Macaca mulatta: one gene and its partners. The protein of the gene in region 1 binds, or shares a complex with, the protein of each later gene. Links are inferred from orthologs where the notes say so. Each region holds a gene or a part of one and is shown in the gene's direction. Other genes may lie near its edges.

Region 1 (3,649 bases):
ACAACCAGTCAGAGCAGATGAACCACATTTCAGACATCCTCAATGTGGCCTTCACTATCATCTTCACCCTGGAGATGATCCTTAAGCTCATGGCCTTCAAGGCCAGGGTAAGTGTGGGGGCTGCAGGGCCAGTTGAGAAGCTGGGGCTGGGGGGGTGGGGCCTTCCAGTGGAACATCCACCCCATCCCTCATCCTATCAGGGCCCCTTTGCCCAGCACTTCTGCTCCCAACTTGCTCCTTTGCCCACTTCCACCTTCAGACACAGGGCAGGCAAATCTTCATGCAGCCAGAATTGACTGATGACAGAAAGACTCTGGGTGCCTCTTCCTTTGAGCTTCTCTTACATTCTCGCCTGCCCCGAAGTTTCTGAAGAACAGGCCCAGGGCTGGGGGAAAATCTTGCCTTGTCTCTTTGATTCTCAAGGCCATTCCCATGGTTCCCAGCACAGCCCTGTCAGTTCTGCACTGTCAAGCCCCAGACAGGATGTTCAGTGGGGTTCAGGGGATGAAAGATATCTCTATCTGGACCAGGACCCCAAATCCTGAGATCTCAACAATTCTCCCCTCCCCCCCCACTACTTTCTGCTCTGGAAGAGGGGAAATAAAGAGCAAAGGGAAGAGGAGGGTTGGAGTGGGGGAGCCCACTGGAGCACCAGTAGGGAGGTGGAGTCAGAGCACCCCACCTTGACCTGACCCGCAGCTCCACATTAACTCGAGTGGGACACTGTCCTCTGCTAGCAGCCAGAGATCCTTTCTCCCAAAGCTCACCCCCTCACTCTTCCATCCTTTTCCCTCCCAGGGTTACTTTGGAGACCCCTGGAATGTGTTTGACTTCCTGATTGTCATTGGCAGCATCATTGATGTCATCCTCAGCGAGATCGACGTGAGTATCAGGCAGGCAGAGCCATCACTAGCGTGGGTCCAAGAGCATGTGTTCAGTCCACAGATATTTGTGGGTTGCCCACTGTGTGTGCAACATGGAACCCCAGGGATTAAAAAGATGGAATGACAAGTCGTGGCTTCTCCCCTCAAGGGACTATCATCCTGCTGGGCGAAGAGATAACTCAGATACCAGGGAGACACCATGGGTGTACCTACTACACTATCAAAGGCAAGAGCTGTAATGGAAAGGAAAGTCATCTCTGAGTGGGGTGGTCAGAGAAGGCTTCATGGAGGTGGTGCCATCTGCCTGAAGGAAAGGGAGGTGGTGACTGGAGTTGGAGAGGAGAACAAGCACCTCAGGCAGGGCTATTGTAGGAGAGGCACAGAGCAGGAAATGCAAAGAAGGTTCAGGGCATGCTGAGTGGTCCAATTTATCGGAAGCATAAGAACATGCAGACACGAGAACGGAGAGGGCGAGGCTGGAGAGCTAAGCGGTGAGAGGGGGCTTCAGCTTTATGGAGCAGGCAGTGGAAAGTCACTAAAGGTTTTTAAACAGGGCAGTGGGAGGATTAGAGTCCTACTTCTTTTTTAAAAATATGTTTTTGGAATATGCAGATGGGGTCTCACCATGTTGCCCAGGCTGCTCTCCAATTCCTGGGCTCAAGTGCTCCACCTGCCTCAGCCTCCCAAAGTGCTGGGATTACAGGTGTGAGCCACCACGCTGAGCCCTTAGAGCTCTGCTTCTAAAAAGCTAGCCTGGAGGTGAGCGACAGGAAGTCAGAATGACTAAAATTAAGAGACCCGGTTAGAAGACTCACTCATTTATTTCTCAAATATGTACTGGGCACCTCCCGTGTGCCAGGCTAGGTTCTTGCTGCTGAGATACAGCAGTGAACAAAATTGTGGAACAAACTGGCAATAAATAAATCAATCCCTAATACGACAGGTATGACAAATACATAGTATTATACAGAAACATAAAGGGAAATAGGGGCTTAGAGTGGAAGAGCATGGGAGGGTGGTGTCCATATGACACTGTAGCAGAGACCTGAAGAAAGCAAGGGCATGAGCCATGCCAGAACGGGGGCCAGAGTGCTGGCAGAACAGGAGGCCAGTGCAAAGGCCCTGCAGCAGGATGGTACTTGCTGAGTTGGAGGAAGAGCAGCAGGCCCTTGTAGCTGGAGGACGGAGTGGTGGAGATGAGGTGAGAGAGTGGTGGAGATGAGGTAGGAGAGAGAAGGCAGGGGCCAAATCATCTAGGCCCTTGAAGGCCACGGTTACCATCTTGGATTTTATTCTGAGGGAGACGAGAGCCCTTTGGAGGGTTTAAGTGAGAACAGACTTTAGTTCTAAAACAATCACTGTGGCTGCTGTGTTGTGAACAAGCTAAACTGCAGGGGACACGAGGGCTGAGCCAGTGAGAGCAGTCAGGCGGTTCCCACAGTGATCCAGGTGAGAGGCGATGGGGGCCGGGGCTGGCTGTGGAGGCCGTGAGAAGGGATCCATGTCTGGATCTATTTTGAAGGTTGAGCTGATAGGAAGGCTCCCAGGATCTGGACCAAGGGGATGAGGCCTTGGCGGTGGAATGAGAAACAGCAGCAGGACCTGCCTTGTGAGGGGGATGAAAGGAGCAGGGAGGCAGTTCCAGCTGGAGAGGTCCACATTCAAGGTCTTAGAAGCGGAACCCTCCAGAGGCTGCCTTGCCGTGGGTCTGCAGCTGCAGGTTGCTGCAACGATGGAGGGCGGAGACTATCCGAGAGTCAGAGGCCAAAATCAAAAAACAGTTGCCCAAGTGGCATCCTAGGAGGGACACAGGGGAAGAGAGAAAAGATGAGCATTCTTCTTTCTGAGCCAGGGTGGGATGTCAGAAAGCTGGCTGGCCTGGCCATGAGGGATCCCAGCAGGGGACTGGCCCTAAAGCTAGGGGCTCAGCCATGCATAGGGCTTTCTTCTGAACTGCCCACTGCTCAACGGAAAGCCCTTTGGCTGTGCCAGCCTGTGGGGTGAACCTTAGGGTGAGTTGGGGATGGGGTGGAAAGATGAGCACTGGAGATGCCTGAGGTGGGGTGTGGGTGAGAGGAACAGCTGAGGAAAAGTCTGGAGTCTCTGAGGAAGGAGCCCTCAGCTGAGGCTGAGCTCTGGCAGGGAGTGGGGACTTGGCTGTCACACCAGCTGTCTGATGTGCTAGGGGAGGACCAGGGTGGGAATCCTGTTCACTCTCCATGCACAGAACAGTGACAGACAACCCCATCTGCTCAGATCCCCTGGGGGCGCTGAGCTAGTGAGGGCCAGGGTGGGCTCTGAGCAAAACCAATGCGCGTGTGTGTGTGTGTGTGTCTCTGTGTGTGTGTTGTGTATTTCCATCCACACTCAGTTTTTGCTGGGAAATAGTATCCCAAAAGGCTCCATGGTTTGACAGCAGCACTTCTCACCAGCACAGCCAGAGCCGAGAAATCTAAACAGCCAAAATAAACAGCCCAAGCTAAAAATAGTTACTTGTTAAAATCTGAGGTCTGTGTAGGGGAAGCCTGGATATATCAAAACGGTGTCTTTGGTGGTGGAGGCCAGCAGGGTGTCACTGGTTTTTATTTGATTTTTAGCAGATGTCCCTTACCAGTAGTGTCTGCTTAAAGTCACGTGAAGGTTGATTTACATACCTGATGTACAAACCAGGGAAAGGGCTAGGGGAGCACATTGGTTAGAACTTTCTGCAAGGACAGAAATGGTCTGCCCTGTCCAATAGAGTAGCCTCTAGCCACACATGTCTA
Region 2 (2,319 bases), on another chromosome or scaffold:
CACCATGAGAGCTCCTGGACTGAGGCCGCATGCCGGGTGTCCCTTGTGTTTGCAGAGTACAGCATCTCGGCAGCCGCCATCGCCATCTTCAGCCTTGGCTTCGTCATCCTGGGCAGCCTCTGTGTCCTCCTGTCCTTTGGGAAGAAGAGGGACTACCTGCTGCGGCCCGCGTCCATGTTCTACGCTTTTGCAGGTAGACTGGGGGCTCCGCCCGAGCACCGGACTGGGGGGACCATGTCGTGGGGGATTCTCCGCTCCACTCTCATGCCCACCGTGGGATTTGGGTAGGGGGCATTTCCCAGGCTCCATCCCCATCCAGGGGCAAACCTGGCCAAGCCCTCAGCGACCCCAGGTGGGCTGGAGGGAGACAGAGCTTGGCGGTCTGTCCATTCCTCCCCATGATTCAACCCTCAAGGCCCCAAAGAAACTGCCCAGAGAATGATTAACAGAAGAAGGAAAGAAACGTGGTCGCCTTTCTTTCTTTTTCTTGGGGGATGAGGAAGAGGGTCTCGCTCTGTCGCCCAGGCTGGAGTGCAGTGGAACGATCACAGCTCACTGCAGCCTCGAACTCCTGAGTTGAAGGGTTCCTCCCGCCTCAGCCTCCTGAGTACCTGGGACTACAGACGTGCACCACCACACCTGGCTAAGTTTTTATTACATTTTAATTTTTTGTAGAGACAGAGGGCTCATCACTATGTTGCCCAGGCTAGTCTCAAACTCCTGGCCTCAAGCGATCCTCCTGCCTCAGCCTCCCAAAGTGCTGGGATTACAGGCATGAGCCACCGTACCCGGCCATGTGGTCGTCCTTCTAAGGGATGCAGGAATAGGGTGGTGCGTGGACAAATGGATCCTTCTGCAGGCTCCCAGCTAGAACCTGCCTTGAGGCAGCTTTTCCCCCAAGGCAAGGTCACTGCCTCCTCCATGCACACAGGCTGGGGTGGGGCTGGGGGTAACGGCAGGCACCCGTCGGTCCCTGAGCGTACCTGGCTCCGCCCCCAGGTCTCTGCATCCTGGTCTCGGTAGAGGTCATGCGGCAGTCGGTGAAGCGCATGATTGACAGTGAGGACACCGTCTGGATCGAGTACTATTACTCCTGGTCCTTCGCCTGCGCCTGTGCTGCCTTCGTCCTCCTCTTCCTCAGTGGTCTCGCCCTCCTGCTGTTCTCCCTGCCTCGAATGCCCCGGAACCCATGGGAGTCCTGCATGGATGCTGAGCCTGAGCACTAGCCCTCCTGTGGCCCTAGCGACCCTCAGGCTTCTTCTCCAGGAAGCCATGTCTCAGCCCGGAACCTTCCAGAGGGGAGGCGGGAGCAATTTTAGCTCCACCCTGCTCCCATCTGCCCCCTGCCACAGTCGCAGGCTGCTTCCTCTCTCTGAGCTCCTCTGGGCTGCCGCAGGCTCCCCTGGGAATAGAGCAAGAGGATGTCAGTCTCAATCTGGCCACAGTTGGGAAAGGCAGGGCCAGCAGGTGGACAGGTGTTTGCAAGGGCCCCACTTCCCCTGGAGCTCAGAGGTGTCCCCACTGTACCAGCCTCTGATAAGCTGCCTCCGGTTGTCCTTTATGAACATTGCAGGGACAACCTGTGTTTGCCAGTTCTTGGTGTTCTGTGTAAATAGCCAGCCCCTCCCTTTCTCAGTGATAAAACACACCCTCTCTGGTGAGCGCAGCGTCCCCTCCTTGGCTTCCAGGAGCCCTGGGAAGCATTTTTAACTGAGTAGAATCTGTCTGTGGCTTGAAATAAAAAGCTCTCAGAAAACTCACGTTTTCTTCACACCTTGCATAGAAATTGCTCAGATTCCTGGTCACATCAGGGGCCCCCTGACGCGGAATGAGAAGGGAAGGCAGGTCACCCGGGTACGTTGAGGACTTTTGTGGGGACAAGAGGGCAACACACGTGGCTTAGAGGCTCTGAATTCCAACTCAGACAGGGTTTCTCTAGGCCCTGAGATTGTTTTCGGGAGAAACTAGAAACCTTCTGATGAAGCAAGGGTGTTAAAAATAGGAGGGGTTATTTCTAGAGCCTGGCATGCAACGCACCTGGTGCCAACGCAGCGCTAAAGCAGCCAGCCAGTGTCTGATTTCTGATGCTGGATTTCTGTTGTGAAGAACATCAGGAAGCAGGGCTTAGCAGTTAGATGCTTAGGGCCACATGAAAAGCCATGATTTGCACACTTCTGCCTTCCAGAGCCCCACAGTACTTGCCCAAGCTTCCGAAGTGGAGTTCAGACATGATTGGCAGATGGGATCTTTGCCTTGCACCCTGGAGAACCCACTGGAGTTCATGCTCCTAGGGCAAGGTTTGGCAAACTGTGGCCTGTT
Region 3 (3,749 bases), on another chromosome or scaffold:
GATCACTTGAGCCCAGGAGTTGGAGATCATCCTGTGTAACTCTGTCTCTACCAAAAAAATTTAAAAATTAGCCAGGCATGGTGGCTTACGCCTGTGGTCCCAGCAACTAAAGAGGCTGAGGTGGGAGGATTGCTTGAGCCCAGGAGTTTGAGACTGCAGTGAGTTATGATTACACCACTGCACTCCAGCCTGGGTAAAAGAGTGAGACCCTGTCTCTAAATAAAAGATTAAAAAAAAGAAGAAGAAGAAGGTTATTGTCAGAGCAGGTGGAGAGGGGGGCATCTTGGAGGGTGAGGACCTCTTCCCCCACCTCTCCGTATTATCCCCTGATCTAACTCCAGTTGTGGTAGGATCTTTAGGAGGGGAACGTGTCTTAGAGAAGTTTGGGGACTTTGGGTGTGAGGACTGAGACCCCATCTCTGCTGAAGTTCAGACACCAAGACTGGAAGGAGATACAGCCATCCTGCTTTCCATCACAAGGAGGAATTGTCCGGCCTGGCCTTTGACACATACACCATAGTCCAGGTGTGTATATTTGGAGAGAGCCTTTTCAGGATATAGAGGCATCTAATTAATGGCACAGATGGGTCCCCATTCTTTCTTCACCAACCTCTGGCATCTATCAATCTTCGCTCTCAGGAAGTCCTAACTTCGATCTCACTCTCAGCTATCTTGCTGCGGCCCCAACCTATTTCTAATCCCTGCAACCCATCCAGACTCTACTATGATCTCCCCAAGCTTCCCTCAATCTGATCACGCCCCTCCATCCCGGGTTTTTCAGTGTGAAACTCCCTCCTCCGCTTCTTTCCCCGCCAAGCCCCGCCCCATCGTGTCGAGCCCCCCAAGACTCCGCCTAGCTCGCCCTCCTGGCCACCGCGGCAGCCAATAGCTGAGAGCCTGATTTGCAGGGCGGCGCGGGGGAGCGGCGGAGGGCAGGGGGCGGGACCAGGCGACCTCCTAAATCAAAGTTGGGCGGCGAGGACTGGGCGGAGGGGCCGCCGGGTGCCGGGCTGGGTCCGGCGGGGGAGGGGAGGGGATGGGGGGCGGGCGCAGAGGACGGCGGAACCGGCCGGACACCGACAGCTCCTTGGCTCCCTCCCTCGGCTCATCCCCGCCACCCCACTTCCCTCCTCCCCGCGCTGCGAGCAGCATCCTCTGCAGACCCTCGGTCCTCGCGCCCGGGGTCGTCCCGCTCCTGCGGCTCGGCGTGGTCGCCTCGCCTCGCCCGCCACCCCGGCAACTTTCTCCGCCTGAGCCCGCGGGTTGGGGGCTGCGGTGCCCGAGGCTAACTGGGGGCAGCCTCTGGAGAAGGGCTTCGGAGTCCCGGAAACGCCCGCCACCCGCAGCCTGCCCGCGGCGGGCCTGCCGTCGGATCTCGGCACCCTCTCCTCCCCTCTCCCCGAACCATGACCGAGATGAGCGAGAAGGAGAACGAACCGGATGACGCGGCCACTCACAGTCCCCCAGGGACCGTCTCCGCCCTCCAGGAAACCAAGGTAACTTGGGGGGCGCGAGGCCTGTCCCCGCCCCGTGCGCCCCGGACCCGGGCGCCCTCTTCCTGGCGGGGTCCTCCTGTGGGCCCGGGCGTCCGAGGGTCGCGGTGAGGCCGGCGTGACCACTGAGGCTCTGCGCCGCTCCCGGGGGGAGGAGTGGGTTGGCGACGAAGGGCCACGAAGACCCCCCAATCACACCAGCACCGCACGCCCGCGCGCGCCATCGCGACCTTCCGGGGAGGCGGCCACTGGTCTTCGTTGGAGAGATGGGCGCAGCGAGGCCGGAGGGCGCGCGTGGAGCGGTGCGGGCGGGGTTCGCGCCCGGCTGTGCGTGCGAGGCGCACCCTCCATCGGCCGCCGGGTCCCAGTCCCGGGCTCAGTCCGCGCCTCTGTCCTCGCTGGTGTCTCTGAATTTGTCTCTACAACCTGCGTGTCTGTGTCTTGGTGTCTCTGTGTGCGTCTTTCCCCGTCTCTCCCGGCGCCTCCTGGTGTTTATCTCCGCGTCTCAGCGTGTCCCTCCCTGCCCCTCCGCAGTCCTGCATTCCCCGCTCCTAGCCCGGTTGGGCTCGGGGAAGCGAGGCCGCGGCCGGGGGTGCGCAGCTGCGGAGTCCGCGCGGGGGCCTGCGGCAGCGCCAGCCGTCGGTCACCGGCGGGGACGGGGGCCTGCGGTTGTGGCTCCGGACCAGAAAGACAGGCAGCCCCACTCCCCACCACGGGAGCGGGACCAGGGGAGGGGGAGCGGGTAGAAGCAGAAACAGAAGTAATTGTAATTAATGAATGTCATCATTAACCCTAATTATGGATGATTGTTACTCCTGCGGGAGTCACCGTGAATAAATTACTCCCCGCGAAGGCGGGCGGAGCCCAGACTCCTGGCGCTGAAAGTAGTGGTGGGGGGGGAGGCCGCCGCTCACACTCAGCACTCCCCCCACCTCTAATCCGTCTGCTCCCTTCCCAAGTTCTAGGTGCTGGCGACTGGCCCGCGAGAAGTTCTGTTTCTGCGGGAGTAACCTGAGCGGGTCTGGGGATGGGGCAGAAAGGGCTGTGCCAAGGGCGCGCCCTGCCCCCTCCCAGACTTCAGGCCAAGACCTCTTCCCTCCCCCTTTCCCCGGTATTTTGTTCCCATCCTGCTCCCGTTCTCCAGAGGCGAAAGGGGACAGTGAGGACCAGAAATGATGGGAGCCTGGGCTCTGGAGGCATGGCTCGCTCTCTGGGCTTCTTCCCACTGTCCCCCTTCCTCCTTCTTCCATCTTGACCATCCCGCAGGAGCTGAGGTTAATTCAAGGTCAAGGTCATCAAGGGAGTGATCGGGAGGAGGAGGCCGTAGGGTCAGGGTGGACTCTGGCAGAGGCACCCCAGGGAGCCCCCATCCTACACCAGGGGACCCAGCGGGTCTCCATGTTCAAGTCTTCACATGCACACCTGACCCTCTCTTGCCCCCTTCTAAAAATGAGACTTTGGTCTGTCAGGCCACAGCTGTCTCCCCTTTAGAGAGCCGAGTCTCAGTCTCTCCTGGGAAAGGACTAAGATGTTTGGGTGGGAGGATATTGCTTGGAATATTTGTGACAACTTCTGTCAAGCAGAGGGTCTGGGAGCTGAACCTCACCTAAGTCCAATACCCCTGACCTCGGTTGCCCTCTAGTCACCCTGGGAAGACATACACAGTCCCCCTGCTTGCCTCCAGGGCACTGGGGGCCTTCCCAGGCCCTGCTCTGTTTCCCACACGGAGGCCTGTCCTCTCCAGCCCCCTCTGTGGGAGCTCTGGAAGGTGGGCAGGAGTGCGGGGTGGTGCTGCCTCAGTACTCCAGGAAGCCGCCTGCTCAGCTGTGTGGGGAGGGGCGGTCAAGGCCTGCAGATCGGCACCTCTCCGTCTTCCCAGGTCAGGACCCTCCAATGTTGTCACCTCTGGGTCTGAGCTTGGAGATCCAAGGACCAGGGGAGAGGAGGGGTTACACCTCTGATCGGGCCCCTCTGTGCCAGGCCAGCTGGAGCCCTGGCCCTCCACCCCTCCCGTATACATCACACTCGTGAAGGATTCTGCACTAACACAGACTGGGCTGTGGGTCAGGTTGGGGGTATTCAGCAGGGCAGAGGTGGGCAGAGAGAGAACTCAGGACCCCTGCTAGCCTTCTTCCATCCCACACCTCAGCCTGGCCCAAAGAAGCTCCTGTCTCCAGACTGTGTGGGTGGAGGAGATGGAAGACAGTGCGGTTGGGTGCTGCCCACCCAGCTCAGTGTGAGGCAGGTACAACAGAG

What was found.
Region 2: CACNA1S (region 1) and CACNG1 share a complex: the UniProt entries of both Homo sapiens proteins name them as parts of the calcium channel complex. The link is inferred for Macaca mulatta from reciprocal best matches to the Homo sapiens genes CACNA1S and CACNG1.
Region 3: the proteins of CACNA1S (region 1) and STAC2 are in contact, whole or in part, in a crystal structure (PDB 6B27), measured with the Homo sapiens proteins. The link is inferred for Macaca mulatta from reciprocal best matches to the Homo sapiens genes CACNA1S and STAC2. Residues at the interface, in NP_000060.2 of Homo sapiens: Glu749, Pro750, Glu751, Ile752, Pro753, Ser755, Pro756, Arg757, Pro758; in NP_945344.1 of Homo sapiens: Tyr301, Lys302, Phe303, Gln306, Glu307, Asp310, Asn326, Asp328, Trp329, Phe340, Pro342, Asn344, Phe345.

The regions. Positions count from the first base shown.
Region 1 is NC_133406.1:58,708,711-58,712,359, reverse strand, and holds part of CACNA1S (voltage-dependent L-type calcium channel subunit alpha-1S), read left to right. Parts: coding exon 1-107; intron 108-798; coding exon 799-882; intron 883-3,649. UniProt on the Homo sapiens protein: Pore-forming, alpha-1S subunit of the voltage-gated calcium channel that gives rise to L-type calcium currents in skeletal muscle.
Region 2 is NC_133421.1:76,808,938-76,811,256, forward strand, and holds the end of CACNG1 (voltage-dependent calcium channel gamma-1 subunit), read left to right. Parts: intron 1-55; coding exon 56-193; intron 194-999; coding exon 1,000-1,226; 3' UTR 1,227-1,756; downstream 1,757-2,319. UniProt on the Homo sapiens protein: Regulatory subunit of the voltage-gated calcium channel that gives rise to L-type calcium currents in skeletal muscle. Regulates channel inactivation kinetics.
Region 3 is NC_133421.1:63,554,653-63,558,401, reverse strand, and holds the start of STAC2 (SH3 and cysteine-rich domain-containing protein 2), read left to right. Parts: upstream 1-1,121; 5' UTR 1,122-1,406; coding exon 1,407-1,496; intron 1,497-3,749. UniProt on the Homo sapiens protein: Plays a redundant role in promoting the expression of calcium channel CACNA1S at the cell membrane, and thereby contributes to increased channel activity. Slows down the inactivation rate of the calcium channel CACNA1C.